Notamacropus eugenii: one gene and its partner. The protein of the gene in region 1 purifies or fractionates together with the protein of each later gene. This does not show direct contact. Links are inferred from orthologs where the notes say so. Each region holds a gene or a part of one and is shown in the gene's direction. Other genes may lie near its edges. The genes, in order: CAV1 and KCNA5.

Region 1 (16,445 bases):
ATCTCATTTCTCTTCCCAGCTTTTCCTCTACCTCTCTAAGTTGATTTTCAAAATTCTTTTTGAGCTCTTCTATGGCCTGAGCCCATTGGGTGGGCTGGGACACAGAAGCCTTGCCTTCTGTGTCTTTGCCTGATGGTAAGCATTGTTCTTCCTCATCAGAAAGGCAGGGAGGAAATGCCTGTTCACCTAGAAAGTAACCTTCTATAGTCTTATTTCTTTTCCCTTCTCTGGGCATTCTCCCCAGCCAGTGACTTGACCTGTGAATATTCTCCTCACACCCACCTCGCCTCCTGATTCTCCCAGCCAGCGTTTGGGGTCTGAGATTCAAATGCTGCTTCCAGCCTCAGGGCTTTTGGTGGGGGCAGGGCTGCTATTCAGTGTGAGATTAAGTTCAGGTGCTCAGGTCAGGGCAGGGCAGCCTCTCAGGCTCAGTTCCCTCAGGGGGTTTATGCACAGACCTTCAACAATGGATCCAGGCTCCTGCCCGCCCAGGGAGCCCTGGTCTGCCACCACCCCTCAGCTTCTGCCTCCCGAGGGGGCCCGAGCCATGGGGGCACCCCACTCCCCTCTCGACCCGCCAAAGAGACTCTCTCACCCACCCCCGTCACCTGTGGGTGGAGGGACTTGTGCGGCCGCTGGAGAGCCTGTCCCTGAAGCCTGCTCGGGTCTGTTCCTCTTGGTGCCACGGCCGCAGCAGGTCTGGGCTGGGCTAGGCTCCGTGTCTGCTGCGCGAGGGACCTTTTGCGAGAGGTTTGCAGGTCCCTCTGGGACAGAAATCTCCTTCGCTCCACTGTTCTGTGGCCTCACTGCTCCAGAATTCGCCATGAGTTACTTTATACCGATGTTGTATGGGTTGTGGGTTCAGAGCTATGTGTATTTGCGTCTTTCTACTCCACCATCTTGGCTCCACCCCCCCCCAGATTTCTTGACCCCAAATACAGTGCTCGTTCTAGCTAAGAAGGTATGTGTATATCATATTCAGCCATGTGTCACACCATATTCAGTCTGGTTTTAAAGAGAATTACATCAAAAGTCATTTAAAATTAAAGTTATAACACTTAAAAGAATTAACCCTTACCAGTCTGTGCAAATTAACTTATACCTTGAGAGTTCTGGATGGCTAAGGTTGTTTCTGAGAGAAGATGGTGACTCTTCTCTTGAAAGCTTTTAGAAACATATTAGGTTCTTATCTATCTTAAATAATTTAAATCAGACTTGCATTAAGGCAAGGGAATGACCTTTCAAGAATCTTTGAATTCTAAGACTCTATAGTCTTAAGGTCTTATGGAATGGCCTTTCACATAGAGAAGGTTTTCTCTATGTTTCACATTTAAAGTTTAGTTTTGCTTTTTTACCAACCTGCCTATTTACTAGACGAATTCTTTTTAAATGAGTTGAGAAAAAGTTCACTAAGAATAAATGACTATAAATGGAGTAAAGATGGAAGTAAACTGTAGTGTATTAGCTGGATTAAAATTTGGAATATTGAAAAGCTCTAATATCTTAGAGTCACTAATACCCAATAATGCTTTCTACTTTATCGATCAATCAGTCAATCAATAAACATCTATTAAGTGCCTATTATGTGTCAGGCACCTTGCTAAGCACTGTTATGTATAGATTGCTTTTTTCTATATAGAACTAAAACTGGCCATCAATTCTGTTTTTGTTTTAAATCATATAAATTCAATAAAGAAAAGAAAGTCAGTCAAGTAGGTTAGTAGTCCTGAGTTGTTAACTTAAATGGCTTATTGTTTTACCGATTTTGCTTTTGCTTTTTGGATAGCTGTTATGACATGCTTTGAATAATTATTCCAAAAACACATCTTTCCTGAGAACCGGCAGTCCAATCCTGTCCTCTACCGACTTAAAGAAAACAAAATAATTAGACATACATACCTTGATCATATAGTCATGGATTGAATCATATCACAGGATTTAAAACAAGAAAGTATTGTAAAAGTTGTCAATTCCAAAAAAAAAAATACAGATAAGGAAACTGAGGACCAGAAAAATTATTATTTACTTTCCTTCTCTCTTCATCTCCCCAGCTAATAAACATTGTTTGGATCACTAAGAAGTAAAGAACCACTGGAAATTTTTAAAGAAAGTAATACTTACCAATATACAAGTCAGAAAGATCATTCCACTGATGGCATTTTGGAATGATTAGAAGAATAAAAGACTGAAGGCAAGGAAGTCGTTGAGGAGAAAATGCTGATGGAAGTTCAGAATTTTAAAAGCAGGACTTAGGTCTGAGAAAGGGAGAGAGAGATTTTAATGATGCTAATGGGAGAAGACTTGGGAGGACTTGACTGCAGTTTGACAATAAAAAAGGTAGTTAAATGAATTGTAAGAGATGATTCTGGAATTGCCTGCTGGAGGGATTATGGTTTCTTGTCCTAGGGAATCAGAAGTGTATAACAGCAGGATTTCAGGTAGCAGGTGATCAGTTTAATCTTTGTTGTTCTGAGATTGAGGTGAAGGTAAAAGGGCCAAGCAGATATTCTAGTAGAACAGTCTGGAAGGATGTTTGGAAAACTTATCATATATGAGTCAGTTTCATACAGGTAAAGTAAGAAGAAAGAACAAATTGATGGAAAAGGATAAAGAGCTTAGTACGACCCTGGAATACGCCACAAGAACCTCTGAAGAAAAAGCTCAAAGGCAGAGATTAGTAAGAATTTTCAGGAAGTGCTTGGAAGAGAAACCAGAGTGAGAAAGGTGGAAGGAACTAGTTAAGAAAACTGGAAACACTAGAAATAGGTGAGAAACTTCAGAAAGCTGAATTTTTAACGAGAACATATTAGCTAAAGTTGATTTCTTGAAGATAAAAGAGACATGAGGAGCCAGTCTGACAACTCCAACTAGTCTATTCACTTTGAGAATTCTGGATCTTGATTATTATGAACACCTCCCCTCATCAAGCCTATTTGTTTGGGCCTGTTCCATTTCCTACACAGCTATTTTGAGTGGTCTTCCCTTTAAGAAGTTCAGAGGATAGTTTAATTCTGATGTAGTCCTGGAATTTATCCCAGAAATGGATTTTACCTGTCTTCAAAGAGTCAGCACAGCAGAGTGAGGGGAAGGCTAAACCTGTACTCAGTACCTGGGGTCTGGATGCCATTTCAAATGTTCATTCACTAGGTATTGAACTGTGGGTAACTCATACAATCCTGGACATCATCATAGGCTTAGGGCCAGAAGATCTTTAAGAGGCTATCTATTCCTACCCCCTTATTTTACTGGATATACATCCGAGGCTCACGGAGTTTAAATGACTCCATCATGCTCATAAATCTTGTATCAGAGGATTTGAACCCAAGTTTTTCTAATGACAAAGCCAATACTCCGTCCCCCTATGCCAATTTCCCTTTCCTAAATCATCTCACTCCTCAGAGCCACAGGTTCTTCAGCTTTCAAATGAGGTTAATGCTACTGTCAGTGTCTACTGTTGTGAAGAAAGTGTTTTGAAGACCTTAAATCATTATGTAAATGCATTATTATTTTGTAATCCAACAAACTTTCAGAGCTGGTGTGCCAAAGCTTTTATTTCCAATTTTGTATCTACTCCCTTAGAGAATTGGCTGAGAATGTGTGAAGCAAGCCGGGGAGAGGAAGATAGGGGTTGGCACTTCTCCTTTGTGAACTGAGGATGTAGACAATGGGAGCCAATCCTGTGATAAAGAAGCCTCCATGGTGCTAAGTAGCCCTGTAAATAGGGGATTCCTCAGGGAAATACTTTCTGAGCCTCTGACTTTTGATCAGTGAAGTAGTATAGTAGGCCCAAGTCAGACTTCCCTGAAACCCTCCCCCAATTTATTATCTCCTTTAAAATGCAAATATTTCTGGGAGTAGTCATGCTTTAAGCTCTCAACTAACAGTTTCATTTTCGGATAACATTTTGGCAAATTTTACTTGATCCCAACTTAGGACAAGAAAGTAATGCTGAATATGTAGGGTAAGATATGGAAGAGAAAGTTTGGGTGGATAAAAGGCTTGGTGGGATACCAAAGATTAGAACTACCAAACAACTTCACCTAAATCAGGCAGGCTCCATTACTTAAAAATAATCTCCATAACTACATTTAGCATATGTACTCAAAATTGTTCACCTCTTTTATAGTCATTTATTGATGTACATTTTTAAAAAATTGTAATAGTGGCAACATGGCACAGTGACCTCAAAGTCAGAAAAATCTCAGTTCAAATTCTGTCCCTGACATTGATTGTGACCTTGTGTCCCTCTTGGAGCTTCAGACAATTCTCTAAGATCATAAATTGAAAAGAAAGTGCCCATTTGCATTCACAGAGAATGAAATATTAACCTCAGGGCCTCAGTTTCCTCATCTATATGAGTGGGTAGGAATAGATGATGTGGGAAGTACCTTTCAACTCTAAAATCCTGTGATCTATGATCTATGGTGCTACTGCTTATTGAAAACAAAGTTGGATCTCCTTTACAAATCAGCTGCCATCTATTCATTATTCAGTAATCAAAAGATACCTAAAGTTATCCTTGTGGGTTTTCAAGAAAGAAGAATCATTCCAGCTCTGTAACTTTAATAATTCATCAAACACGGTCATGCTCTCCAGTCATAAGCATTCTTTATCACAGCCTCTTTTCCCTTAAAAGGGTGGAATTATTTAGCAAAGTTTTTGATTATAAGGAAAGTAGGGTTTGTCTTCTGCAATTTATACACACCTTCAACTTCTTCTTGTTGGGGCATGCTAATCAGAGTTCAATATTTTTTTTCTGCTCATTTGTAATTCACTTGGCATTGACAGTGCTTCACTGATCATTATCATGATTTCATGGCTTGGCTATTTATGACTGTTTTGCATGGGCTTCCCCAGTCAGATTATTATTCTTCAATTTTGTATTACTTAAACATTCACTAAGAGGCCCTCCCAGAAAGCAGAGTTCCTCTGTTGGAATGCAGGAACAGGCTCATTTCATGTTCCTGTTGACTTTTTATAACCAAGATTACTCATCACAGCTGAAGTTTGGGGAACAATAGATGGAAAATGGTTTCAACATTTTTTCCATTGAACATTATTTTACAAAAAAATGTGTTCGAAGGAACTATTAGTTCTGCTATTAGTACTGATATTAATTTAGGAAATACTATAATAAATAGATAACATTACACATTTATGTTGTTTATGCTAAATATTATGTGACACATTTACATGAACTAGATATGATTCTTTTACAGCAGCTTATACACGTTTGTGAGAAATAGACAATTTGGCCATGCAGGAAAAGATACAAGGTACAAGGGTAAAATTAATAAAGCCTAGGATTTAGAGAAATCAGAATCATTTAAGAGATTATGCAGCCTCACTCAAGTAACACCTCCTCCTAATAACATTCTCCATGAAACCTTTCCTAATATCCTAGACCCCTCTGACCTCTTATTTTCCTGATGTAGTTGTTTTTGTTGTTGTTGTGTTTGTCCTTAGTTCTCAAAGAGGACCATGACATCAAGATGAGGACATGACTTGCAGTTGACTTTGATTTGAATGAGGGAGGGCTGTACAAGGTCACCAACTTCACTTTCTTCTCCTGAACCATCTGGGTCCAGTGGCCTGATATTCATCAGGATGACTGGAGGACGCCAAGCAAGCAAAGTGAGACCCTGGTCCTTTCAGGCTAAGATCTTATCACATTCTCACTTTGAGTGAGATACACCCATTCAATGAATAGGCTTCTTTAAGTAGTTACTCAAGGGATGGCCCCTTTAATAAAAAAAAAAAATCAAACTGGGAGGGGAAGACCTTCAGGGTTCCTGGGTAAAAGAGAAACAATTACTATTTAGTAATTACATTCACTCTGTGCTGGGTGTTGGGGATTAGTGATGGAAGGAATTCCCTTTGTCCAGTTCCCTTCTCTTACATTACTTTATCATGGGGTTTGCTATTTGCATTCCATATCATCTTGTATTATTCCCTGATTATTACATGTATAGTAGTATCCTCTTCTTTCCAAATAGATGATAATCTACCAGAGGGCAGTATATGGATTATATATTCTATATTCTATAAGTGCTATTTCTTTTATAACTTCCCATAGCACCTAACTTGGATGCTGAGCACACACTCTCAATGACGTGGTTTCATCAGTGAAGTTCAATCACCAGGACAACCCATCTAAAAACTGGAAAAGTTGTCTTAGTCAATAAAAGGTTAAATAACTTGCCCCGAGTCACACAGTATTAGCAGCATGATTTGAATTCAGGTCTTTTGACTTCAAATTCAGCATTCTATGCACTTAGGACATGTAGTCATTTTATAATATTGCACTGAACTGAATTGCATGTACCTTTCTCTAGGTAGTATCCAATGGAATTTTTTCTTTCAGTTAAATATATCACTCTTACTTTCGCTAAACTGGGTTTAAATATGTAAGCACGCATTTCTTTCTAGTTTTTGCAGCTGAGTTCTATTTATTGCTTAAGGGTCCTAAAGGTCTTAAGAAAAAAATAGCCCAATTTGGATGACATCATTATTTCATTTCTTATAAAACAGTAAAGTATCCTTCTCTTAATAAATTAGGGAGATGATAGATTAGATAGATGACAGATAGATAGATAGATAGATAGATAGATAGATAGATACATAGATAGATACATAGATAGATACATAGATAGATGATAGAAGGGAAATGTATTTTATTTGATAAGTAGTGAACAGTCTCTGACTCTTCCTGGTTGTATGACTCCTGGGCAAGCCATTTACCCTCTAAATGCCCTAGGTCTCTGTCTTAGACCATAAAAAGGTGTGGGGCTGCTTTTCTCAACAGAAAATTCCCTAAACTAGTAAAATCACGAGTCCAGTCCCTATCCTAAATCGTAACCATCCCTCCATCCAAACTCTAGCCCAGCAATAAAGTCGCAGGTTTTATTTTAATATTATTTTAGTTACGACTAATACTGTAATATATCGTACAAACATAGCATAACCTGTGGCGTGTTTTCCCCTTCATTTAGAGAAAATCAGCAATAAAAGTAAAGAACAGTTCAACATTTGCATCACTTTGAAATGAGCCAGGGGGGACATATATAGGTTCGCTCTACAAAGTGGTACAAAGGTACCAAGTTTCCAGACGAGGCTAAACATATGTAAACGAGGGTCACCGAAAGCATACACACTCTAACACCCCGACTTTTTGCTTCAGTTTAGGAGATGTAACTAAAATTTTCCACCCCTTTTTCATCACCTTTCCCCTTCCAAGCTGCTGAACAACGCTTTTTCCTGGGGGAGGAGAGATAAAGGGGTGGGGTGGGGGTAGGACCTTGCATTTCGCCCCTCAGAAGTGGTCAAGGACACGCTTAAAGCCTTCTGCCTCTGCCGGAGGTGCCCTTCCCTCTTGGGAATCCCTCACTAAACTTGTTCCACTTCACACCCTCCTGCTGGTGTGATGCACCAGGAAAATATTCTTGTTTTTCAAGCAGGCTCTCTTGGATCGCCTTGGTGGCTACACGGCTGGGAAAATGTTGCCCCAGGTTTAAAATAAATGCCTCGGTAAAACATGGATAAAAAGCTCGCTCGCTCCTACTCCCCCCTCCCTCCTCGGGCCCTCCCGGCTGCTCCCGGAGTCATTGGGGATGTGCCTAGACCCAGCACCGCTGTCATCCTGGCCAAAAGCAAGCCGAACAAACCCCTGGCCCGCCGCCAGCTCTCTCACTCGCAGCTACCTCCCCTCCCTAACCTACCCCACCCCCAACCCCCACCGAGATGTTTTTTCTTTCCTTTTTTTTTCCCTTCCCATAATACAGGATCTTCCTTCCTCAGCTCCCTTAAATTATAACCCAGGGAAATCTCCACCAGAACCTCCCTCCGTCAAACCCAAGGCAGAATGTCTAGTGGCAAATACATAGACTCCGAGGTAGGATTTGCTTCGTCTTCGGGGAGTTTCTCAAAGCCCCAAACCCCCACCCCCACCCCGGGCACGAGGTGCCCTGCGGCCGTATGTCCCTCCCTGGGAGCGCCCGCCGGCCGCGGCCATCTCCAACCGCTGCTGGGAGCGCTCCCACTGCCTTTCTTTACCGCTCTCCCTCTTGACCTCCGACAGTCACTGCTAAGGAGCGGGCGTCGGTCCGGGGAGTTTCGGGGAGGAATCGGGGCTGGGGGGAGGGCAGCGCCCAAACTGGCTATCTGCTCCGTTTGTGGTTGGCTTTCTTAGGGAAATCACCGAGCAAATTGCTGGAGGGGGGGGGGGTGGAAGAGGTGGACGGGATAACCTTGGGGGCTCCCCGACTTTACGTCTGCCAGAACAGAGATCCACCTCCTTGGAGGTTTTTCGTTATTTGTTTTCTCTCTTACACCCCCCCGCCTTTTACCAGCTGCCCGGCTGATAGCGCTGGGGCGGGAGGCTGGAGTGTCTGGGAACGCGGGGGGACGGGAGGGGCTGCGGGGGCTGTAGCTTCCTCATCCAGCAGTTCTGGGCAAGCACTACCCGAACCCAGACCCTGGCGTCTGGAAAAGCTTAACTGGGGCGTTGGCGCGCGCTCTGTTTGCTCTCCCCCAAGTCCTTGATCCCTCTCTAAAAACTCCTTAGGAATGGAGTTTGCAAAGGGGAGATTTCTCCCAGCTCATCCTCCCCCCAGAACCCAGACCCACATTTATGCAGAACAATTTTTTCCCCCAAGTCAGTGGCCGCGGCGCCTATCAGAGTTAGCGGAAGGGGGAGGGGGTACGCTGCTGCTAAATCGGGGGAGATGCGATTGGAATTTAGGGGAGACGGGTGAGATGTGGGGAGGTGGGCTCGATCTTGAGATTCTGTGAATTCTAGGAGGTGAGGGTGGGAGTAACCTCTTGGGGTGAATGGGGTGAGAGGGGGTGGGCCGCAATAGATATCTCTAAGCTTTAGGGCTACCTGAGAGCAGTCCAGAGAGCGCTAAGGTGGGATGCTAGAGGAGGGGCCGCAGGTGCACGGTTTAATGGGGGCTGGGGTTTGGGACGATGAGCAGTGAGTGACCCATCGCTCTATCGGAGAAATCCAGGGTTAGGGGAGGAAGCTACAGGTGTCAGAGACTGGGGGGAGGCGACCGAAGCAGGTAAGGAAATCCCGGTAAGGTGAGGCGCCCTAAAGTGGGGCCAGGACCAGGGTTGAGCCCAAGGCTGCCGGAGCTCTCTGGGCCAAACACGGGGCGCTGAATACAGGGAAGGCGAGGGAGTAAAAGGGGGGGGCAGTAGGAGAGATTTGGGAGCCGGACGTTTGGGCTGCGTTTGCAGATGACCCCTGGCGGCAGGAGCGGGAGTCGGGCTTCTCCGCCTGGTACCGAGGGGTGTGGTGTCGTCTTTTCTATCCTTTTAAAAAGCCAGTCTCCCCGTGAAGTTGACTTTGCTCTGAGCAAGTCGCAGTACTTGCCGCAGCTGCAGCCGCCGCCTTTCCAAAGAATAAGAATCACCCTTCTCTCTTCCTTAAGCTTGAGAGCTTTCCCAACCTCCGGTTGACTTTTGTCCGCTTGTTCTGCTTTTTTTTTTTATTTCCAACCCCCCCCCCCCCCCTCCCCGTCCCTACCATCACCACCACCCCCACCCCTCCTCCCTAGGGGCTTCTCTATTCGGCGCCCATCCGGGAGCAGGGAAACATCTACAAACCCAACAATAAGACCATGACCGACGAAATGAACGAGAAGCAAATGTACGATGCGCACACCAAGGAGATCGACCTGGTCAACCGAGACCCCAAGCATCTCAATGACGATGTGGTCAAGGTAAGGGCTGGGCTGGGCTGGAGGGAAAGTGACCTGAACAGGTCCTTCAGGCAGGACCCCCTCAGGGTCGCACTGATGGATGAGGGCACTGGGAGCCCAGGTATCAATTATATTATATTGCCACCTCTGGGACTGATAGGAGTAATCCGCTGAAAGCTCATGGAAAAGGCAGAAAATGAATTTTCCCCTTCTCTTTGCCAGGTGATTTCAGCCTAACCCTAACCCCTTAACTTCCACTGAAGTCTACTTGTAGCCAGGCATCCTAACTACAGAGAACTGCATAGGCAGGCTGCTTCTAGCTAAGGCAAGGCTGTCTGCATCCACTCTGATGCCTTGAAGAACTACTTGAACATTGGTACTCTTAGGACGCTACTGTAAATACCTATAGGCATGTGGAATACAAACACAAAGTTGACAGGATCCTGAATTAAAATAAATGTTTTTCTTGAAAATACTAGAATGGGTGAAAATGCTGTGAACCAGGAAGGAGTGAGTGTTCCAGTGAAATGCCAAGCTCTAAGTTTTTAATCACACAGTAAGTGTGCAAAAATCTCAACAGCCTGGAGTCCATCGCACTGGGGAACCAGCTACTTTGTAATCGGTACTTTCATTTATGATTTCTTACATAAATCTGCTCCTGAATCTCATGGACCAAAATGAATCCTTCCGCATATACATGCAGAACATTAGTTAAAAACCAGTGAGCTGTCAAAACTTTTATCAACAGTCGGCATTGTTTATTACTATTATTGCAAACTTTAACCACATTTTAAGCAAATGTGGTCAGAAGACTGCATCGTTAGGACCCATTTGGATTGAGTAATTGTGCATATTACTGTTACTTGGCAAAGGGCTTACTTTTCTGGGACCAAGAAGGCCAAGGAGACCTCTTGGCTCAAGATAGTAGAATCTAAAGCCACTGCCCTGCAAAATCCTGTGACTGCAAACCTGATTAAAATAAAACCATTTCAAGTCATCCAGGACTTGTTACATGAGGATCGGAGTTGGGAGGAGTGAGATTTCTGTAACTCTTTGTGTTTATGAATAGCATATTTTAAAAGGGGAACATTTTATTCTGTACATGTGAGGAAAATGAGCATATTGAACTTAATTCCCTTGGCATGAGGGCAAAAGGGAAGTAGTAACTGGAAGCTTTTAAAGATTTTGCTGGTAGAGCAGAGTATGGAATATTAAAAAAAAAAGCAATTTGCAATAATCTGAAAATTAAAACTGCTAAATTCTGAATAAATTGAAGAGAACGTAAACCCACTTATCTCAAATTATTTTAAAGAGGAGGATAAAGATAAACTTTATTAAGTTTTTCTCCCTTATTTGGCTTTTGATAAGAAGGTCAGTTGCTAGGTAGAGCACTAGCACTGTAGAATTCAGGAAGGAGGTGCTTCACTGGTTATTTTTTTCTGCTCATTTGCACTGTTAGTAGGAGTCCCTGGAGCAACCAAACTTTCTGAGGATGAGTCAGAGCTCCCAGGCTGTATGGAATTTGGGTCTCCACACACTGCATGACTAAATAGAGAAAGATCCCACTGGGAAAAGAGACTTAACATAGATGGAAAAAAAACATAACGGTCTTAGAGGAAATTGAAGTTTACAAAACAGGACTCCAAAGGGCAATTATTAGGAATCCTCAGACCAAATAAATTAAAAGCAGGTGTTAATGTGTGGCCCTGCCAGCCTCAGAATCTTGTGTCCCGCTTACTTGCTGGTAGGACTGAGCAAAACACAGTAAAGAATTCACTATCATAATCATTTGTCTGATCTTTATGACTTCAGGGAGGTAAATAGAAACTTAAATGTGTGCATCTAGAAATTTAAATTTAAATACTGCCTAAGCAACAACTGGTCAAAGTTGATCCAGGACCTTTTTTTCAGAGTATCCAAGATAGAAAACTTTAAGATCACCTGATTACCTACAGCACAAATTCCTTCTTTGGCATCTCTGAATCAAGCCTCCAGTGATAGGGTCTTAGAGTCAAGAAAGAGTGACTCTTTTAAGAATTTTTGGGGCCAAGAATTTAAATGTGATTATGAAGGCTGGAATAATCTTTTTCCTGTTACCTTGACCCTAGAACTTGAGTTTTTCTTACATCAGAATAGGCAACCCATCTCCCAACTTTAGAACACCTGAGAAGTTCATGTTATCATTACGCTAGCCAGCCTCATATTAAAAATGGAAACAGGTGGAATGGAAACAGATCAAATAAATCTATTGTGAAAGGTAAAGGACTTAACAGGGCAGAGGGAAGCAACTCTACATTCAGAAGATTCTCATATCACATTTTAAAAATAATTCTGGCTGATGAGAAACGAAGGAAACAGCTCTGATATAAAATGTAAAAAAGTTACACAGTTACTGAATATATACTTAGTATACTTTCAATGCCCAAGCTAAGCTACATAGAAATCACAAGAAAAATCAGAATATTTTAAAAAAGAAATTAGTTTTCTAATCTATTCCTAAGTTCAAGGGCCTAGTTACCTGGCTGTATGAGCATAAGCACTCAATATCATAGAAACTGGGTTCTTGACTTCCTTCAATAAATGAGCAATTATGTTTGCTCATCAGATATTATAATCATAAAATTTCAGACAGCATTATCCAAAAAAGTAAAACCTGCTGTGTCAAGCTTCTGCTAATTAAAAGGGATGTAAATCAACGTGAAATTTTGGCAGATGACATTTTTCTAGCCTTCACACAACTGGTTCAAATGTTTTATTTGCACTCAAATATGGAAAGGCTCTGTGATATTCTGGGTACCAGGGATCTCTTTTCATTAGATTACCCAAATTAACCTCTGATTTTTCATATGTACTAGAAAATGGAAGGGATCTGTGATTTTATGGTGGTGGGAAGCCTTCCTCTTCTTGATTACCTAAACAACAACTCTTATGTGGGATTATATAGTAAGTCCTGGGGAGTTGCTTAAGGCACATAGTGGTTAATCAATACACCCTGGAACATAGCACTAATAAGTGTCAGAGACAGGATTTGAAATCTAGGTCTTTCTGCCTTCAAATCCAGCACTCTATCCACTCTACCAATTGGTATTATTTGAGTATTCTTGTAAGCCATCAATTTATAAAAGCTTGCCTAGAATTGAAGAACTAGTTGTCCTTATAATCAAATACAGTGGACTATCTCCAGAGATAGTCAGTAAACATTAAAGTGCCTGCAGGCACTCTGTGTAAGGATATTCATCCTTCAGTAGCCTGCATTGGGCTAAACACTGAAGAGACAAACAAAACCATCATCTCCAGACACTCACTATCTAAGGTAGGAGCTGGCATGCAAAGAAAGAAGGATACATATTTTCACTTTAATGTGAACATTGAACTTCAGAAATATATTGAAAAATTAATCAAAAGTGAGGCATTCCAATCACACCCAAGTGCCAAGGCATGTGTTTCTCAACATTGTTAAGTTTGTAATCTAGTCTGTTTTCTGTGAATTCAAGCATTGTAAACCAAAGAAAAGTTTTTACCAACACCATGGGTTTTGCTTTGATGAAAATGGATGAAATTATCCATGGCCAATTATAATAGAGCCTTATACAAGAAACCTAATGACTTTAAAAGATAGAAACTGTAGTTGTTGACCAAGAAACCACTTTATCTTTCCCTCCCTCCACCTTAGCACAAGGAATGACCATGGGTTGTCTATCCTGGAATGCCTGTGAAGTGAACCCTTCACTATAGCTCATGGTAACTCTGTGTAAGGACATTCATCCTTCAGTAGGCAGAAAAGCAGCCGTACTCATGCCAGTAATTGAAAAGTGAGATCATTCCACAGCTGTACCACAGAGATGTTAGAGGTCCAACCCATCACTGAAGATCAAGATTCAGAGAGAGATCCGTTAGGCTGTGGGTTTTTCCACAGATTTTTTAAAACCATCTTTGTGAGTTAATTGTGTATGTGGTAAAGTATGTTTCAAGTTTGCTATCTGGAATAACAGTGGAGTGTGTAGAAGTGCTCATCTCCAAACTAGAAGTATGGGTAAGCATAGGCCAGGATTTATTCACCTATTAATTTTTTGCTTCAATGCATTCCGTTGAATATGTGTCTATTTCCCAATTTCTATTAATTTGTTAGGGTACAATGACTCCAAAAGAAGAGAAATTTACCGAGGTGTATAATATTCAAAACAATTAGCTGCTCAACATGTGGTATTGATTCGCCCTTACCAGGTGATTTGCTATGGTTAGGCTGCAGAAGAATTAATAACTTTACCATGAACATAGCTGAATCACCAAGGACTGGTTGTTCCTCGGATATCAGCAGCCAATTTCCTCAGTGACTTTAGGTTAAACTTATTTGAATAGCTGGATCCTTTTTAGATTCAGCAGCCAGCTTGTATCAGCTCACAGGAGCTAATGGTTACATTTTCAACAAGCATTCACACCTTGGAAACTGGGTAAATGCTGCAAATCAAGGCTTGATGTATTGTTTTATTGATTTTTAGATTTAAAGTTATGGAGAAAATATTAACAATGCAGATTACACATAAAAGTGTTCTCCACCCCCAGGCAGGTGTCGAATATTTACTGGCACACTCTGGCTCTTTATCGTATACATGTTCTTCCTCAGCTAGTAGTGATTCTAGAGTGGCAAATAAGATGAACCGAGCAGTGTCTAAATAATTTAAATTTTGTGAAAGTGTTCAGCTACAGCGATGTAGTTAATACAAGTTTTCATATGTTCTTGGGCCGTGTAGTCCAAAAATGATTGAATTTAGTCCCTTGCTTAAAGAGCCCTTGCAACAAGAATTGCTATTTTTTCTGAAAACTCATTGTCAGTTCTTGAAAAAGCTGCATTACCTCTTCTTATAGCAATTTGTATCCAACTCTGGAAAATTATTCCAAACTTTATTTCTGAGACAGGGAGCTAAAACTACTATTTATTTTCTATTCAGATGTGTTATTGAGTGGTCCATATGAGAAGATGCAAGTCACGCTTGCATCATAAAAATATCATTGCTTATATTTTTAGCATCTACAGTTTTTAACTTAATAAAGGGCCAGCAAAAAGCTCATACAGAACATTCCTGGGTGGGACATTTATATCATTTTAAGGTCTACGATGTGCGTTTTGTAGATTATACGTAATAGGCACATACTTTCATATATATTCCTGTAATGGTTTTAAAAATTCAGGACTAGATGAATACATTGTCGATACTGGACACAGGTGAGGGTGAGGAGGGATTCCAGCTTATTCACATTTTGTTGTAGTTGGAAGGGACTTTGGAGACCTTCTTATAACAAATCTAGTTTTCTTTCTCTTATATCACGGCTACTTTCTATTCCAATGGAGGATTCATAGAAAGGGATAATGAAATGTAAAGGTATCACAGAATTTCAGTGTTTGAAAAGACAGAGATTTTCTTTTTTTTCTTTTCTTTCTTTCAAAGATTGTGTCACCCATCTCACCCAGATTAGAGGTACAGAGACTATTCATGGGCCCAATCCCACTACCCAAACTATTTCTGACCCAAACCAGTTTCCCCTTCCTTAGGTAACCTGGTACTGGTTCGTTAATATTGATACAAATTTAGTACCAGCATTGGGGTGTCATAACCCATGACAAGTCAAAATTCCTGAGCTCAAGAGATCCAAGAATCTCAGTCTCTTCAATATCTGGGATTACCAGAGCGTGCCACGATGCCCAGGCTCATCTAACCCAACTATACCCAAATAGGAAACCCAAGTACATCATCCATAATAAATAATCATTTTTTAGCATTTCTTTGAAGCTTTCTGGTGAGATGGAACCAGGGTTGTGCTGGGCCAATTCTGCCTAGCTCCTGAGAGCCTCTTATTAAATTTTCAGTGTGAGCATTTTCTACCTCAGAAAATGGCCAACGGAATAGTCAGGACTATAGTTATTCTTTTGTTGCTTATGTAGACTTAAAAAAATGGTTGGTTGGTTGTTGTCCTTTGTTCTCAAAGAGGACCAAAATGACATCACCATGATAAAGTGAAGTTTCAGTGTGTCCGACTATGGCTGATCAGACCAATATGAGCTCGTAATGTTCTACCACAGATTGGGCACAGATAGTCAGTGTGAATATTTGGGGTGGTTACTCCAAATTTGCATATCCTACATTTCCTTTGCACTGTCTCACAGAGCACAGTACCTTCTCTGATGTGGCACACCATGCTGCGTGGTCCTGTGCCAGTGTCTCCCATGTCGCACAGTCAAATCCAAAGTTCTTGAGAGAGAACTGGAGAGTGTCCTTGTAGTGCTTCTTCTGACCACTATGTGATCACCTACCCCATGTGAGTTCTCCATAAAATAGTCTTTTTGGCAAGCATACATTTTGCATTTGAATAACATGGCCAGCTCATCAGAGTTGCACTCTGTGAAGCATAGTTGGGATGCTTGGCAGTCCAGCTTGAGCAAGGACTTCAGTGTCTGGTACCTTATTCTGCCAAGTGATCCTTAGAATCTTCCTAATACAGTTCAAATGGAAGCAATTCAGTTTCCTGGCATGGCACTGGTAGACTGTCCATGTTTCACTGGTATACAACAATGAGGTCAGCACAATGGCTCCATAGACCTTCCATTTGGTAGTCAGTCTAATACCTCTTCTCTCCCAAACTTTCCTTCGGAGCCTCCCAAACACTGAGCTAATGCTAATGTGTGTGTCAACCACATTGTTAATGTGTACATCCCTGGAAAGTACACTACCAAGGTAAGTGAAC
Region 2 (16,675 bases), about 56 Mb from region 1:
CTATCTGGATTGATGAGTGTCATTTCTGTTCTTCTAGAATCATTGTGGGGGTGAATATAGTATAATCACCCTTCCCAAATGTTCCATTGTTAAGTAATGTCTTGGCCAGATCACAATAGATCAAGTGAGAAGAGGAGGACTTGGGGCTTTCTCTAGAAGAAGATACTGAAAAAGCCTTCCTAAATTATTCACTTTACATATTCTCTGTATCTGGTACCATCAATTTCTCAATTATCTGGATATGTGTCATAACCTCCAAACTGGTCTCTCTGTTTCCAGCCTCTACCTCTTGAATTATAGCATGGCTGACATTTTCCTAATGAAGATGACTTGCTTTTCATTCAATCCCTCTGCTTCAAAACCTTCAGGGGTTCCACATTGTCTACTGAATAAAGTTAGGTATATACGTGTTTTCCTGACCCTCATGTTCCTCTAATAATTTGACTTTAACATATCTTTCCAATCTTAACTCATACTACCCCACTTCAAGGAATCATAACAGCTTTCACTTATGCAATACTATGTGATTTCCAAAGCATTTTACTTAGAGCAGCTTAGACAAAGAAGTTGTTAACAATATTGTTATCCTCATCCTACCAATGAGTCAACGGAGGTGCTGAGAGCCACCCTGAGTTGACCCAGAACTCAAACACAGGTCTGTGACATCCATATCCAGGCTTCAGATAAACTACCACTTAGTATCCCCCATCGTCATCTTGTCCTTGCCTGTCTTCACCACTGTAGCTAATAAAGGTCTGTATCGCCAAACTTCTAAAAGCACTTTAGACTTTTCTGTTGCTCTTATGATATTCTGCCTTATATCCTTCTTGTTTGTATGTTATAAGCCCTAAATCCTTCCTCCCTCAATGCCCATCTGGTGCTGGCTCAGCCCCATCCTCACCCTCAGGTGGGGAAGGGGAATTTATATTTTCAACTTCTCTTATGTATTAATGGGGGACTGGCCAATAAGTCCAAACCTTAAGAGCCTGCACAGAGTGCCTCAGTATCCTCTGCAGATGTAATGCCTTCCTTTGGAGAGACTGGGGAATTGATTTCTTGAAGAATCATGATGACATTTAACGAAGGTACCTTGGAAAGACTCTGGAGCATCCATAGACATTGTGTAACTGGTACTCTGGATAGGAGTTGGAGTTAATGGCATTAAATAAGAGAACCCCTAACTCCTCAGGGGTATTCATAGAACCCAGAAGGGGAGATGTAGCAACCTGGATCTGGCACAGTGAACACAGAGAGATATGTTTACTATGCTTATATTGTCATTATTATATTGTAAGCTCCTAAATGATAGATATCAGGTCTTATTTCATCTTTATAACCCTAGGACTTAACATAATGCACTTAAGATCCCATTCCTAATAAGCTGGCAAATACCCAAATAGAAAACCATTGAAAGTAAAATATTATAATTTTTATCTCTAAGTCCCCAGAACAGAGACTCAGAAAACAAATAAAAAGGAAGGAAGAAAGGAGGAAGGAAGGAAGAAGGAAGAAAGGAGGGAAGGAAAGAGGGGTAGAAAGAAGGAAGGAAGAAGGGAGGGAGAGCAGGAGAGAGGGAGGAATAAAAGGAGAGAAAGATATAAGAAGGAAGAGAGAAAGGAAAGACCATAGGGAAGGAAGGAGACTAAAGTAAAATAGAGGCCAATGACAAACAGAGCTATGCTTTATTATTTCAAAAACTGTGAGTTCTCAAGAATAGGAAATAGAATATTGAAGTCTCAAGAGAAACAGGGACAGAGAGGAAAGGAGAGAGAAAGAGAGAGAGAGAGAGAGAGAGAGAGAGAGAGAGAGAGAGAGAGAGAGAGAGAGAGAGAGAGAGCTAGTTCACAAATAGTCATACTTGAATTTGTCTTCAAGTTGACACTGAACTTTTGAAGGCAACACCAACACAGTACAAATACCAATAAGTCCTATCAGTTAGAACAGTTTTGGCGATGCTCCAGGACTTTATGAATTGTTATTTATCCAGGACCAGTCTAACAAAACTCAGAAAGGTTCTTCACCAAATGAGGACATTTTAAACCTTTTCTTAGCCACAACAACTCATGAAGACCTTCTTGAGGTTCAGTCTTTATGGTTATTGGGCTACTCATAAAATCAGAGAATTTTTGGAGTCCTGAAGAAAGAAAAGACATGGGAAAGCAAGGAAAACCACAAAAAAACCAAATCTCCTGGGTACTATGTTTTAGTTTCAATTTGAAACTATCACTGTCTAAAAAGAGAATATGGGAGCGAAAATGCACAACTTCTCTTAAAATCAGCACCTGCCCCCTCAGGCTCACTCAATCCAGCTTAGCATTTCTAACCTAAAGGATGGCAACTATAAATATACTGAAGTCATTAATGAATACTTCTGAATTGGATCTGGGGAGGGAGAGAAAGGAAAAGCCCAGTTCCAGATGTGAGGCTTGATTTGTGAATGGCCTAAAACAGACCTTTAATCCAGGAAAATTAATCCTCCTGAACAGGAAATAAAAGGATCTGCCCTGAGGTCTCTCTGAAGAACCAGTTCTCTCATCCCCTTTTGATCCTCATCCTTTTCTTCTTTTTCTCTTCTTTCTTTTCCTTCTCTTCCTCCTCTCCTTCTTTCTCCTTTTCTTTTCTTTACCTTCTTCTCAGTCACACTTTTTTGCCTTTATCTTGCTGTTTCCTCTGTTTTCATCAAACCACAGTGAGAAAGAAAGATCATTTCCAGATTTTACTTCCTGAATAACGAATTAAGGGGAAAATTAGAAGGGAAGGGGAAATGAAGAAAAAAAGTTACTCTTTTAAAAACATTGAAATATTTTATGGAGTTTTTTATTGAATTTTTTTTGGACAGAAAACTAAGCTGGATACATCTGGGATGAGGGGCTTAGAAGAGAGAAAACTTCACCTTTTTTAGATAAGTAATGTAGTAATCATAGTTTTATGATTATAATAGTATATGATCTTAATGCTAATGCATTCTTAGATGATATATTTCTTGATAATCATAACTGAATTGGTAGGTGACTGGAAGTCCCAGGTTTTACAGGGCCTATTGATAAAGAGCCTTTATTTTTTTAAAGGAAATTTTTTTAAGTTAAATTTTGCATAGAATGCTTCCTCTCTGACTCTGTCTAACCCTGCCCTATGCTCCCATCTGAGCCCTCTCCATCTTTCCACTGCATGGTGGGGGAATATTGTGAAAGTACAATCTTTCTCAAACCTAGGATCACTGGAACACTCTGAGAATCATGGAGAGGTCAAAGAATTTTAGAACTGGAAGGTACCATGGAGGTCATCTAGTGCAATCCCCTGCCTTTTTTCTTCCCATAACTCAAATGAAGAAATTGAGACCCAAAGACCCAAAGTAACTTAAGTCACTTAAATAGTGGAATTGGGATCTGAATTGAAGGCAGTTTAATTCAACAAACATTTATTGAGTTCCACTGTTAGTTTCTGGGGATACAAATACAGCTATCCCTTCCATATTGTAGGGGTTAGGGGGTATGGTGCCCCCATGATCTGGAAAATCCATGTAAAATTTTTTGACTCTTTCTTCATACCAGAGAAGAAGTCCGAATTTTTTATTTTTCTTTTATGCAGGTTTACAGTACCTTATTGTAAAATTTGGGTTGATATTATACAATGTTATCCATATATTTTATGCATTTCTGAGTTTCTCATTTTTTTCTGTGTCATCTGCTGCCTTTGTGTATTGTCTGTGGCTTCTGCAAAACTTCTCTCAAATCCCCATTTAATTTCTTATGCCCAAGATATGCCAAAATAGTTATGGGGAAAATTGTGATGTGGAAGGGATAACTATACAAAAATCAAGCATATCTTTCAAGAAGCTTTTGTTATACAAGGCAAATACACATATGTTTATGCAGGCATTTATGTAGATAAACATTGTACATGTAACATATAACATGTTAACATATATTCTATTATAGAAATATATAATATATTGCATCATATTAACATATAATATATCATTATATTAATATATGCACATGTGTATATATGGACTAAGTACAAAGTAAGTTCTGGGGTGAATAACACTAGCAACTGGAAATATCAGGAAAGTCCTTCCGGATGAGGTTGCAAGTGAGCCATGCTTTGTAATGAACCAGGGATTCTATGAGGTAGAGGAAAAAAGGCAGACATTCCCAGACAGGAGAGACTGCTGAAATCTCTTAAGCTGAAATTCTATATCACCAACTGCTTCCTGGACACCTCTCCTTGGGTGACTTCTCCCTCCAAGATCATGCTGACCTAGGCAGCTTTGTGTTCCTCATGGAGCTGACACATTAGCAACACTGGAGAAGGTGGCAGGTTTGTCACCGTCAGGGTAAGTTAAGGCCTTGAATCACCACTCTGGCATTCCCATTGTCCACAACCACACTGTTTCAGGGCAGCTCTATGTTTCTCAATCTCTTGTGACTGTTTCCATTTTAGATATTTGATTATTCAGGTTAATGGATTAGTGGTGAGCTACAGGACAAGTTGAAGTACATGAAATAGAATAGACCAGGGATGGGGAACCTGTGGCCCCGAGGCCACATCAAGTATGGCCCTTTGATTGTATCCAAACTTCATAGAACAATTTCCCTTAATAAAAGGATTTATTCTGTAGAAATTGGATTCAGTCAAAAGACTGCACTCAAAGACCTAGAAGGCCTTATATGGTCTCAAGATTACAGGTTCTCCACCCCTGGATTAGATCTAAGGCTTGACAAGAAAGAAGAAATTAACCAGTTATGGAGGAATTGAACCTTGGGGACAAGATTTTAAGGAATAAGTAGCATAGCAGTGCAACGCTTGTGAAACTTTTCAATATAGCAGAGAAAGACACAGGCAGCAAGATGAAGAGAGTGAAAAATTGAACAAGACATCCACTTGCAAAGGCTTGTTGAAGCATCTTTCATTTGGGTGATCCTTCTCCAACCCCTTCATGGTCAATCTCTTCAGCTTAAGTGTTAGGAAAGTCAATTTTAGAGAAAAAGGAAAAGTGTTGAAGAGGGAAACTGATAAAGGTAGAGAAAAGACCCAACTATGATAACCTCTCAGGGTACGTCTGCATGAGTATCTTAGAAAGCAAGAGAATATAGAGCTCTGGAGAATATGTTGTTCATCCTTTGTTTTCAAAGAGGACCAATGATATCATGGTAGATGTCGTAACTTGCAGCTAAATTGGATTTAAGTGGGGCAGAGTGGTACAAAGTCATCAGCCTCACTCTCTCTTCTAGTCATCAAAGTCCATTGGTAAAACAAAAGTCGAGATGACTGGCAATGGTCCAGGATGCAGTGGAGGACCTTGGAGTCTTCAAAGTCTAAGGGCTCTGCAGTGCCTGCATCAGCCACCTTTAAATGTCTATTCTTCTTTTCCAATTTCCCATAATTTCAGTGTAGCAGGGCTGAATTTGAAAGCACATTCAATTCTACTCAATATGAGATCTGTGTCTTAAAGAAATGCCATTTGGTGAAATGTCACTAGAAGAAATTATATTTTACACACAGATATTTGCCAACTGTTAAAGTGGGGATAGAATGAAAATAAAAATTTAAAAAATCCAACATTGTTGTTCTCATCAACAAAATTATTCTCATCTGCCCATTCTACTAGGGAAAGTCTGCACGTACTTGTCATAGACACCCCCTAACTCACCAAAGGGTTTGAGTCCTGGTGGTTACCCTCAAACTAATTTAGCCCATCTGCTGAGATGGTTTACCAGGGTGTGCTGCTGCCCATGCTATAGCTTCTTGGAGTGACATGTGAGACTTGGGTGAAGGTGGACACAAAAGTGCATAAGCAGTTCTGAAAAGGAATCAGCAAGTCATCACACTAGCACCAGAGGTGTTAGCCCTCCTTGAACACCTCATACATCCTTCTAGAGAACAGAATAGGATAAAAGACTGATATAGAGGCATGATGATCCTAGGCTTTCTGAAAGGAAAAGATCATCAATAAAAGAAGCGTATTTATATCAAAAACATTATAAAAAATCAAAAGAGTAATTGATAAAAACAGATAACTGCTGACAAAGGAGAAATGAATATTTAAAGACAACAGCAATCTCTTCACATAACTCACGAGAAAGGAAATTGGCAAAATTCTCTCCCAAAAGGTGAAGATACTTCAATAAATTCTGTAAGCCCCCCTGAAATGACAACAGAATGATTCTAAGAACATCCAGCACGGTTCAGAAGGAAGGAAAGATAGAAACAGGCACTGGACTAGGCAGTGTGTTAAGAATTTTACATTATCTCATTTTGTCCTTACAACAAGTCTATTTTATCCTCATTTTACTGTTGAGAAAAATGAGGCAGGCAGAGGTTAAGTGACCTGCCCAGATTCACACAGCTAATAAGTGTCTAAGGCAGGATTTGAACTCATGTCATGAACTCAGGTGTCCACTCTATCTACTGTGCTATCTAGCCAGGAGCTTAAAGGAGAAATTAAATGAAAAGATTTTTTGAAGCCCAGAAATTAGAATTGTAAGAGAGGAAATCAGCAAAAGAAGAAAGTAGACAATTTAGAACAAAAAGGAACAAAAGACAGAGACACTCTCTGTAATAGAAGACAAGAAAACTGAAGTGAAAAAAGGCAGAAGCCCAAGGAAAAATAATGTGATCATTTTTTTCAAAGTAAGGTCAGAAACACACAGAAGAGTTCTACAAAGTAAGAATTTTATCTTGAACTTGAAGTTAAGATGTGAAGAAATAATCTAAGAATAATAAATCTTCAAAGGCATAATAATATGAAAAAAATCTGAAGATCTTCCTAGAAATCACACAGAAAAATTGCCCAGAAATGTTAATATATATACAAATATATATGTATATATAGCTACATATGTGTATATAACAATATGTATGTGTGCATATATACATATATCTATGCTTCTCTGTGTGTATGTATGTATCTATCTCTATGTATCTATGTATCTATGTATCTATCTGAACTGTCCATTCAAAATGTAAGGATACTGGATTTCAATTTGGATTTATGTAAGAAGAGTTTCTAAACTTCCATACTTTTTAACCCTATAATTCTACATCTGGATTTCTCCCTCCAAGGACTTCAGAAACAGATTCAAAAGCCCAATATATACCAAAATATTCACAGCACTTTTTGGGTGACAAAGAACTGGGGAAAAAAGTGGGCACATATTGACTATGGAATAGTACAGAATGGAATTTGTAATGGAATATTATTCTGTTATAATAAATGATGAATATGAGGAATTCAGGAAAATATGGAAAGATTTGTGTGAACTGATGCTGCATGAAATAAGCAAAAGATACAAATAGTGACTACAAAAATGCAAATGAAAGATCACTAAGGGCATCTCAAATGTTTAGCAACTGAAAAGGCAGTGACTCTCTGAGAGAGCCACTGATGACATGAGCTCCAGTCCCCAGGAAAGAGAGATATGGGGGTGGGGTGGGGACAGAATACTGGATACCTCATCAGAAGGAGTTACTATATTGGATTCTTTTGCTTAATTGTTTGCCCCCAAAGGGCAAAACTCATTGACCCAAAAGAGGATTAGATCTAGAGGTGGCAGAAGGAGGAATGTGATGTAAAGGGAAAGTCCAGCAATAAAACACACAAACACACATATATCTATATACCTCCATAGATACCTGTGTGAGCCACATGAGAGCTCTCTCTCCATCCTTTTTTGTCCTTGTTCAGTTGTTTCAGTCATGTCCAACTTTGGTGACCCCATTTGGGGTTTTCTTGGCAAAAGTACTGGAGTAGTTTACTATTTCCTTCTCAATTCATTTTACAGATGAAGAAACTGAGGCAAACAGGATTAAGTGAATTACCCAGGATCACACAGCTAGTAAGTATCTGAGGCCAGATTTGAATTCAGGAAGATAAGTCTTCCTGATTCCACGCTCAGGAATAAACAAACACACACGTGTATATATTTATATATGTATACATACATACATACATACATGTTTGCATGCATATGCATGTATATATAGATACATAATATACACACATACGTATGTATATGAACAACAATTTAAAAAACAACAACACCTTAACAAACCAATGAAGAGACTTTTTCCATCTTTCTTATACTTACAGGTCAGAAATTGTGTGCTGTCTAACCAAACTTCAACTCTAATGAGAATCCACATTCCCAATACATTTCTTCCCTAAAAGTAGCAATAGATGTACTTCCCTTAGACTCATTCAGGCAGCCCCAGGTAGGCAGAATCAAGGAAACTCTTTGAATAACTGCACAACTCTCCACTCTGAAGACCAAATCTCACCAGAATAGGAAAGAGGAGGAGAGGAGGAGAGATCCCAAGAAGGATTGAAAATTCCTGATAAAAGATGATTACTTCCTTTGAATATTTTACAGTTCAGAGTAGTTGGTACCAGGTTAATCTGCATTTGGAAATAGGGTTTCTTTATAAGTGGTGAGTAAGTGAACCTAGTTTCCATTTCTGATCAACAAGGAAAAATTGGTGAAGTATATGATAGAAACATTGTAGGGAAGAAAGCATTCCATATTAACATTTATGATAAAGAGAAGAAAGTCAAGAATACTCTGACATTAGCCTTAAATCTATGGAGAGTAGATATCAAAATGTTCAAAAAAAGAACAGATAGAATTTGGTGACATGTGTGGTGTTGGTCCTTTGTTGCCGTAGAAGACCATGTCATCAGTGAAGTAATGGCGTGACTTGTACTTGACTTTGTTTTGAGTGAAAGAGGACTGTGCAGATCACCAGCCTCACTTCTTCTCCAGAGACATCTGAATCCAGTGACCAGATATTCATCAGGATGACTGGAGATGACCCAGGATGAGGCAATTGGGGTTAAGTGACTTGCCCAAGGTCACATAGCTAGTGAGTGTCAAGTGTCTGAGGTGAGATTTGAACTCAGGTCCTCCTGACTCCTGCACTGGTGTTCTATCCACTGAATCACCTAGCTGCCCCTAGAATTTAGTGACCTAAGATTTTACTGGGAAGTAAGTAGGGAAGTAAGTCCAAGAGAAAGTCCTCGAAATGAAATTCTAAAGGTTTGCTCAAGGTAGTAAGGTATTTGGAATAAAGGTAGTAAGTAGAGCCTGGCAGTAGTGTGACACCCAGCTTACACTGAACAAATGGGGAGCTGCGGCTGGGAGTAGTTTGGCAGGGAGAGGCAGGATTATATATCTCATTCGTAAAACAAATAGGGAAACAGGTACAGAGTTTCCCTTACTCACCACTTATACAGAACCTTTATTTCCAAATGTAGTACTTTGAACTGTAAAATATTCAAAGGAAGTAACCAACTTTTATAAGGAATTTTCAATCCTTCTTGGGGTCTCTAGTCCTCTCCTCCTTTTTCCTATTCTGGTAAGATTTGGTCTTGAGAGTGGAGAGTTGTGTGGTTATTCAAAGAGTTTCCTTCCGTCTTGGGGAGGGAGGAAGGTGGGGGGGGGGTATAAATCTAAGTTTTATGGTGGTGGTTGTAGAACATTAAAAAAAAATAAATAAAATAATAATAATAAAAAAAGAGTTTCCTTGATTCTGCCTACCTGGGGCTGCCTGAATGAGTCTAAGGGAAGTACATCTATTGCTGCTTTTAGGGAAGAAATGTATTGGGAATGTGGATTCTCATTTGAGTTGAAGCCTGGTTAGACAGTACATAATTTCTGACCTGTAAGTGTAAGAAAGATGGAAAAGGTCTCTTTGCTGGTTTGTTAAGGTGTTGTTTTTTAAATTGTTGATCATTTGAATCATTTTAACCCTAGTTGAGGACTCTGTCAACCCCACCCCTGCTGAAAGATAAAGAAAAGGAGAGAAGAGGGACAGAGACAGAGACAAATAAAGGGACATAGACACAAGAGAGATAGAGAGAGACAGAAACACAGGGACACACAAGGGAGAGGGAGAGGGAAAGAGAGGGAGAGAGAGAGAGAGAGAGAGAGAGAGAGAGAGAGAGAGAGAGAGAGAGAGAGAGAGAGAGAGAGAGAGAGAGAGACAGAGAGAGAGACAGAGATAGACAGATAGACAGACAGAGACAGAGAGAGACAGAGAAACAGAGAGAGAGACAGAGAGAGAGGTGAGAGAGGGAGAGAGAGAGGGAGAGGGAGAGAGAATGAGAATCATTTTCATCTCTTCCATAGTGGAACGACCCAATATTCTCACCTTCTCACTCCCCCGCCTAAGTCCATCCAGCGTATTGCAGAATCCCAGGTGAGCAGAATCACACAAAGCTCTTCTCATCTTCTTGCCCAGGGGAGTCTTGTCTCTCTCCCGTACACAACTTGTGCTCCTCCTCTGCACCTCTCCCTGCTCTCTCCCTGCTCTCCCAAACCATTAACTCCAGCTGTGCCTCTGCACAGGGTGACGCCCCCAGTGTTTTGGGAGAGGAGGGAAGGGAGTAGGTGGGGGTGATGTTATGCCGCTTGTCTGGCAGGACTAGCTAGAGCTATAGGGAGTGAGAGTCGCGAAGCGGGGAAGGGGAGGAAGAGAATGAAAGAGGTGGAGGGAACTACAGGGGGTGGTGGCTGAGTGCCTTGCTGATGGAGAGCGCAGTGTAAGATTGCATCTGCTTGCAAAGAAGCTTTTATGCTGCTTGGTAACCGACTAGCTTGCAGAGAGAAAAGAGCCAGGGCAGCTTCTTGACGTCAGGACTAACTGGGAGTCGCTCCGGCAACCCCAGCAGGGAGCATTCGCAGAGATTCGGGCGACCAGGCAGGAGGTTAACAGAGGGCTTGGGGAGGGCACAGGGAGAGAGTGTGACGGAGGAGCCAAGAGGCGGGGGCGCAGCATGCCTCTGGCCCTGGCCCATGGAGATTGCCTTGGTCACCCTGAAGAACGGAGGCACCACGGCCATCGGGAAAGGAGAGCAGGCTGGGGGAGGCAGCGGCCCCAACCTGGAGGAAGAGCTCTTGAGTCCCGCGACTGGGCAGCTCAACGACGGAGCCAAGGAGGGGAAGCCGAGGAGGTCTGGCCGTGGTCGTGGGGGGAGAGGCGACGGCCTAGGTGGACGTCCCTTACCTGAACTTCCTCGGGCAGTGAGACAGCAACCTCCTGGACAGGGGGAAGAAGAAGAAGAGACAAGCTCCACCTTGGGCATGTCGGAGGGTGAAGGATTAGGGTCATCTGCCCTCCATCATCAACGTGTCCTCATCAACGTCTCGGGCCTGCGTTTCGAGACTCAGCTAGGCACCCTGGCTCAGTTCCCGGACACTCTCTTGGGGGACCCTGCCAAGCGTCTGCACTACTTTGACCCCCTGCGCAATGAGTATTTCTTCGATCGCAACCGACCCAGCTTTGACGGCATCCTCTACTACTACCAGTCGGGGGGCAGGTTGCGGAGGCCAGTCAATGTTTCTTTGGACGTGTTTGCTGACGAGATCCGCTTCTACCAACTAGGGGACGAAGCTATGGAAAGGTTCAGGGAGGATGAGGGCTTCATCAAAGAGGAGGAGAAGCCACTGCCCCGGAATGAGTTCCAGAGGCAGGTCTGGCTCATCTTTGAGTACCCGGAAAGTTCTGGCTCAGCCCGAGGCATCGCCATTGTCTCCGTCTTGGTCATCCTCATCTCCATCATCACCTTCTGTCTTGAGACCTTGCCTGAGTTCCGGGATGAACGGGAAGTGCTTCACCATCCGCCGCTACCCCAACAGCCTCCAGCTCACCCCCAGAGCGCTAACGCCAGCCGAGGTGGTGGTCAGGAGCTGCATCTTCTGCCTCAGGGGCCCACAGTGGCCCCTATGATGCCCAGGACCCTGGCAGACCCATTCTTCATTGTGGAGACCACGTGTGTAGTGTGGTTCACCTTTGAGCTTCTGGTACGCTTCTTTGCTTGCCCCAGTAAAGCGGAATTCTCCCGCAACATCATGAACATCATCGATGTGGTTGCAATTTTTCCTTACTTCATCACTCTGGGCACTGAGCTTGCAGAGCAACAGCCAGGGGGAGTAGGAGGAGGCAGCAGTTCGAATGGACAGCAGGCCATGTCCTTGGCCATCCTGCGGGTCATCCGCTTGGTCAGGGTCTTCCGTATCTTCAAACTCTCCCGCCATTCTAAGGGCCTCCAAATCCTGGGCAAGACCCTACAGGCCTCCATGCGGGAGCTGGGGCTCCTCATCTTCTTCCTTTTCATTGGAGTCATCCTCTTCTCCAGCGCTGTCTACTTTGCAGAGGCTGACAACCAGGACACCCACTTCTCCAGCATCCCAGATGCCTTCTGGTGGGCAGTGGTCACCATGACTACAGTGGGCTATGGGGACATGAGACCAGTGACGGTAGGGGGCAAAATTGTAGGATCTTTGTGTGCCATTGCAGGTGTCCTCACCATAGCTCTGCCAGTGCCTGTCATTGTCTCCAACTTCAATTATTTCTATCATCGGGAGACAGACAATGAAGAAAGGGCAGTCCTCAAGGAAGAACCAGTCAGCCCCACAGGCCAGGGCTCAATACAGGACAGTGTGAATCAGCTGAAGTCTAGTGGGAGCAAAGGGTCCTTTACTAAAATCCCAGAAAACATGGAAGGGGCTCACAGAGAAAGCTGCCCCACGGAAAAATGCAATCTTAAAGTCAAAAGCAATGTAGACATAAGGAAATCCCTCTATGCCCTTTGTCTGGACACAAGCCAGGAGACAGATCTGTAGAAGACATCAAGACAGCCAGGCGGAGATTTAAGAGTGAGAAACAGAACGAGGGATCTTGATAGTGGAAATCTGTTTTGTACCACTGAGTATTATACAAAGACTGTTCTCCAACCTGATTTTCTCCCTCATTCCTTCTCCCTCTCTTTCCCCCTTCTTTTTTCCATGACACCAAAGGGTCACTTATTTTTAAAAAGTACCACATTCCATGACGCAGGAAACTGTTGAAATGGTGAGTGCAGTAAGATGTATGTATTTGCAGTCCTGGTCACTTTTAGCCATTAGTGGGAAAATGCAGACAAGAACCTTTGGAAAAAACAACCAATAAGAAAAAGCTAGGGATTTTGTAAACTGCAGATATGTTTGTTGCAAGTTTGAGTATATTTATTTGAATATAGGGGGAAAAGCTATTTTTTGTGTGACAGGTGAAAGGAACTTTTATACTATAATTCAGATATTTCTGGCATTTTCTCTTTCTATATAAATATGTTGTGCTTATGGATGGAAAAAGTTTCTGTTGCTTTTCTGGGAACCACTATTTCACCAGCACCTTCCTTATACAGACACTTGTTTCTCAGCATAAGCCAGTCCTAATTCTCATGTCCACAGGCTTGTGTATCTCTGGATATGATGTGAACTCAATGCTTTAGCTCTAGAAAAGGAACACTTTCTGCAAAGAAAGGCAAGTCTGCGTTTTTTGGTGAGCCTTAAATAATTAGTGTGATTTTCTTTTTGCACATTTTAATGAGGTTGGAGGAAGATTTCTTAGAATTCCTTCCTTTGATTTTTATCCTCAGAAATAAAACATTACCTTATTGAGGGGAGTGTTTGTTTTTCCACAGTTGATCATTTTTTTTGTGTGTGATTAAAAAATAATCTCTTTGTCTTCTCGGTTTTGAATTCATAGCAAAGACCTTGCAAGGATAGTTTTGAAAGATAATCTGTGAGGTACAATATTCTTTGATTTGCTCAGAATGTGTTCAGTAAAGATATCACTTTAACAAGCTTTTTGCCAAGAACCTGTGCTTCTTGGACTCAGCATCTACCAGGCAATGTGGATCAAGTGAAAAAAGAAACAGGAGAACGGACCCATCCCCACCCCCCTAATCTCCTGGACGTTCTGAAGTTTCTCTTTCCCTCAGGGTTTAACTCTGCTTAACATAGCACTGAACAGCTCTGAGAACCAAGACTGAGTCTTCTCAGACAATGAAGTCTGGTCTACAGGACCTTTATCATACCATGGAGTCACTAAGAGATCTGTGTTTGATGGAGTCATGGAGAGCCCCCCATGGTATGGGGGATAGCTGTGCTATGCTTTTACCACATACAGTGGCTACAGGGAATGTAGAGGATCTGCTCATTCACATTAAATGTTGATTTCTGCAGCTTGTTGCTTTGCCTTTAGAGATTTTAATCCCTCAGTTTGGAATCTCTTTGTTTCTTTCTGGCAGGGAGGTGGTGGCTAAATACCAAAGTAAGTATACATGTACAGAAATTTCTCTCTGGTGTTAGCTGTCTGCCCTGGAGTTCTGGATTAATGATATTGCTTTTCCCTCAGTTAAATAATCCACAGAATGACTTTTTAAATCCTCCCTAGGGGTCAGAGGATGATCCTTAACCCTCCCGCTCTCTTTTCTCCATAACAATGGCTAAGCTAATACCTGGTTTTATACAGTGCAGTGTCTAACAGTGTGGTATATCGTGGAGGGAGAGCAAACTTCAAAGCTAGCTTTTTAGGATTTAGGACTTACCTCTTATACATAGAGATGGAGTGACCCTGGGGAAATGATTTCATCTCTCAGTGCTCTGGGCAACTTTCTAGGACTATATGTTGCAGAGAAAATGTCAATCTTACCTGCCTTGGTAAAGGGATTTCTTCACCTGGAACTTCATTATACCACTGAAATTACAGATCCTGCCCCTATACTTCTATTCAAGTCTTCACATAGCTGTTTAAGCTTAAATGAATTTTGGAAATTTGCATTTAAACGAGACAGCTACACAAATAAATATATAAAAGGTGTGGTTATGATAATGCAGACAGATGTGGGCTTTTTTTTTTTTCAGTCAGAAAGTGTTAACATACAAATTGAGGAGTAGAAAACCCAATGTAAGCAGAACTCAGCACATTCATTTGCAAGTTAAAAGAAAGGAAAAGCAGCAGTGCCAAAACCCAATACCAAATTATATTCAAGTCCACTCAAGTCCCTTAGCTTCCATTTTTATACAGTTTGGCAATTCTGGAATGGATTGTATGAAACTGAGAGTGCAATTAGATTCTTTTCAGTTATCTTTTCCTTTTCCCAGAAACTCCAAAGGGAAAATAGTCACAGTTAATTTTATTTAAAAAACAAAACTATCTATCTGTCTGTCTATCCATCTATCTGTATGTCTGTCTTTGACTATTCATTTGCTCATTTATTTATTTGACTATCCATTTATTTATCATTCATTCATTTATTTGTCTATTCACCTATTTATTTGTTTGGCTTTTGTTTCTTTGTTTTTATTGAGACTGGGTATCCCTCTGTTACCTAGGCTTGAAATGCAGCAGCTGCTCACTTCTATCGAAATGCTGATCACAGAAGATTAGTTTTTTCTGACCTGAGCTGTTTTTTTCCTTCCTTAGACAGTCTGATCACCTTCCACTCCCTAGGGCTCATCATTTTGGTGTCAAACACCCAATCGGCATTGACATCTAATCAGCATTAGCTCTACTGTAGCTCAAAACTCTAGAACTCAAGCAAAATACCAGTATCAGTCTTCCCTAGTAGCAGAGATTGCAGGGGAGCACCATCACTACCAATGATCACTGTTGATTTTAACATTTGTTCCTTAAGAAATAGGTGGTCAAATGGAATAGAGAGATTAGCATATAGGCCTTTACTGGTCTGATTATGAGGAATCATAATCTTGTTTGGCATATATTTGGCCAATAATGGCAGGCTACATCTCTGAAAACTTTAAATTAAATGTGATTTAAATGTGATTTCATTCATAATAATCACATTTTGAGGATGGAGGAAAAAAGGCAAAGGATATATATTTCATGTAGGATGTGTGGGATTTGGTGGTAAAGGTGATAGTGATCTGGGGGGACCAAAGATCTATAACCAGAAGAACTACACTGAGGTAACAAGGTAGATCAGCAATGAGAATCTAACCAGAAGTCTTAAGTTGCAGCCATATGACTGACTCTTTTATCCAATGTCTCCGGGAGGCCAGTGACAACCCTGGAGAACACTAGTGACCAAAGGGTTTATCTCCCTTTGGCTAATGGGACAGGGTTCTTAGTTTGCTAGGAGGAACTATGATTACCTTGGAAGCTAGCAGCAGGTACTCTGCAAACAGGGTTGAAGAACTAGTTTCCTTGAGATTTCTTGTACTCTATGAAAGCAAATTTAAAAGGTACCATATTGATTTTTAAAATTCCCCATTGGTCAATCAAGTCTACCTGGTCATTAATTTTAATGTCTGAAGAATTCCCTTTATCTGTCTTTGGGATATGAGATAATAAATATTCATTGAATACATGCTGTCAAATCTATGATGAACTCACTGTGTGTGGGGGGTGGGGAGGAGCACATAATCACTGTCTTTTAGGAAATTACAATTTCACTGGGGCTTGTAATTTAATATGTGTTAAAGACCTTTCCATTTGTGGTATTCAGGGTATAGCAAAGCATTTCCCTTGGTGTGAGGGACAGAAGACTAAAGTAATAACACAGCAATTATACTTTGCCAGACAGGAAACTGATAATGGCTTTGTCGATAACTGAGGGAGAACTGAGAGATTGTTTGTTGACTTTCCTTGCCCACTTCCTTTATCAGTCTATCAATAGAAATTTAGTAAATACCTACGATGGACCCAACCCTGTGTCAGATGTTGTGAGGGATACAAAGAAGATGGCATGGTTCCTGAAATCAATGGGAAATAAAAGATGTGTGAAATGGCAGGAAACAAGTCAGTATATAATGGTTGAGTTGTATGATTCTAGATACAAGAGTGGAAAGCATTTGCAGAACAGGAAAATCTTTAAGGGTTCCAATAACAA

What was found.
Region 2: the proteins of CAV1 (region 1) and KCNA5 purify together in Homo sapiens (affinity purification with western blotting, with the first as the bait; 3 studies listed by BioGRID). This does not show direct contact. The link is inferred for Notamacropus eugenii from reciprocal best matches to the Homo sapiens genes CAV1 and KCNA5.

What each region holds. Positions count from the first base shown.
Region 1 is NC_092874.1:136,578,917-136,595,361, reverse strand, and holds the start of CAV1 (caveolin-1), read left to right. Parts: upstream 1-7,592; 5' UTR 7,593-7,861; coding exon 7,862-7,891; intron 7,892-8,545; exon of another isoform or gene 8,546-8,629; coding exon of another isoform or gene 8,630-8,653; intron 8,654-9,560; coding exon 9,561-9,725; intron 9,726-16,445. UniProt on the Homo sapiens protein: May act as a scaffolding protein within caveolar membranes. Forms a stable heterooligomeric complex with CAV2 that targets to lipid rafts and drives caveolae formation. Mediates the recruitment of CAVIN proteins (CAVIN1/2/3/4) to the caveolae.
Region 2 is NC_092874.1:192,643,838-192,660,512, forward strand, and holds the start of KCNA5 (potassium voltage-gated channel subfamily A member 5), read left to right. Parts: upstream 1-10,504; 5' UTR 10,505-10,793; coding exon 10,794-12,623; 3' UTR 12,624-16,675. UniProt on the Homo sapiens protein: Voltage-gated potassium channel that mediates transmembrane potassium transport in excitable membranes. Forms tetrameric potassium-selective channels through which potassium ions pass in accordance with their electrochemical gradient.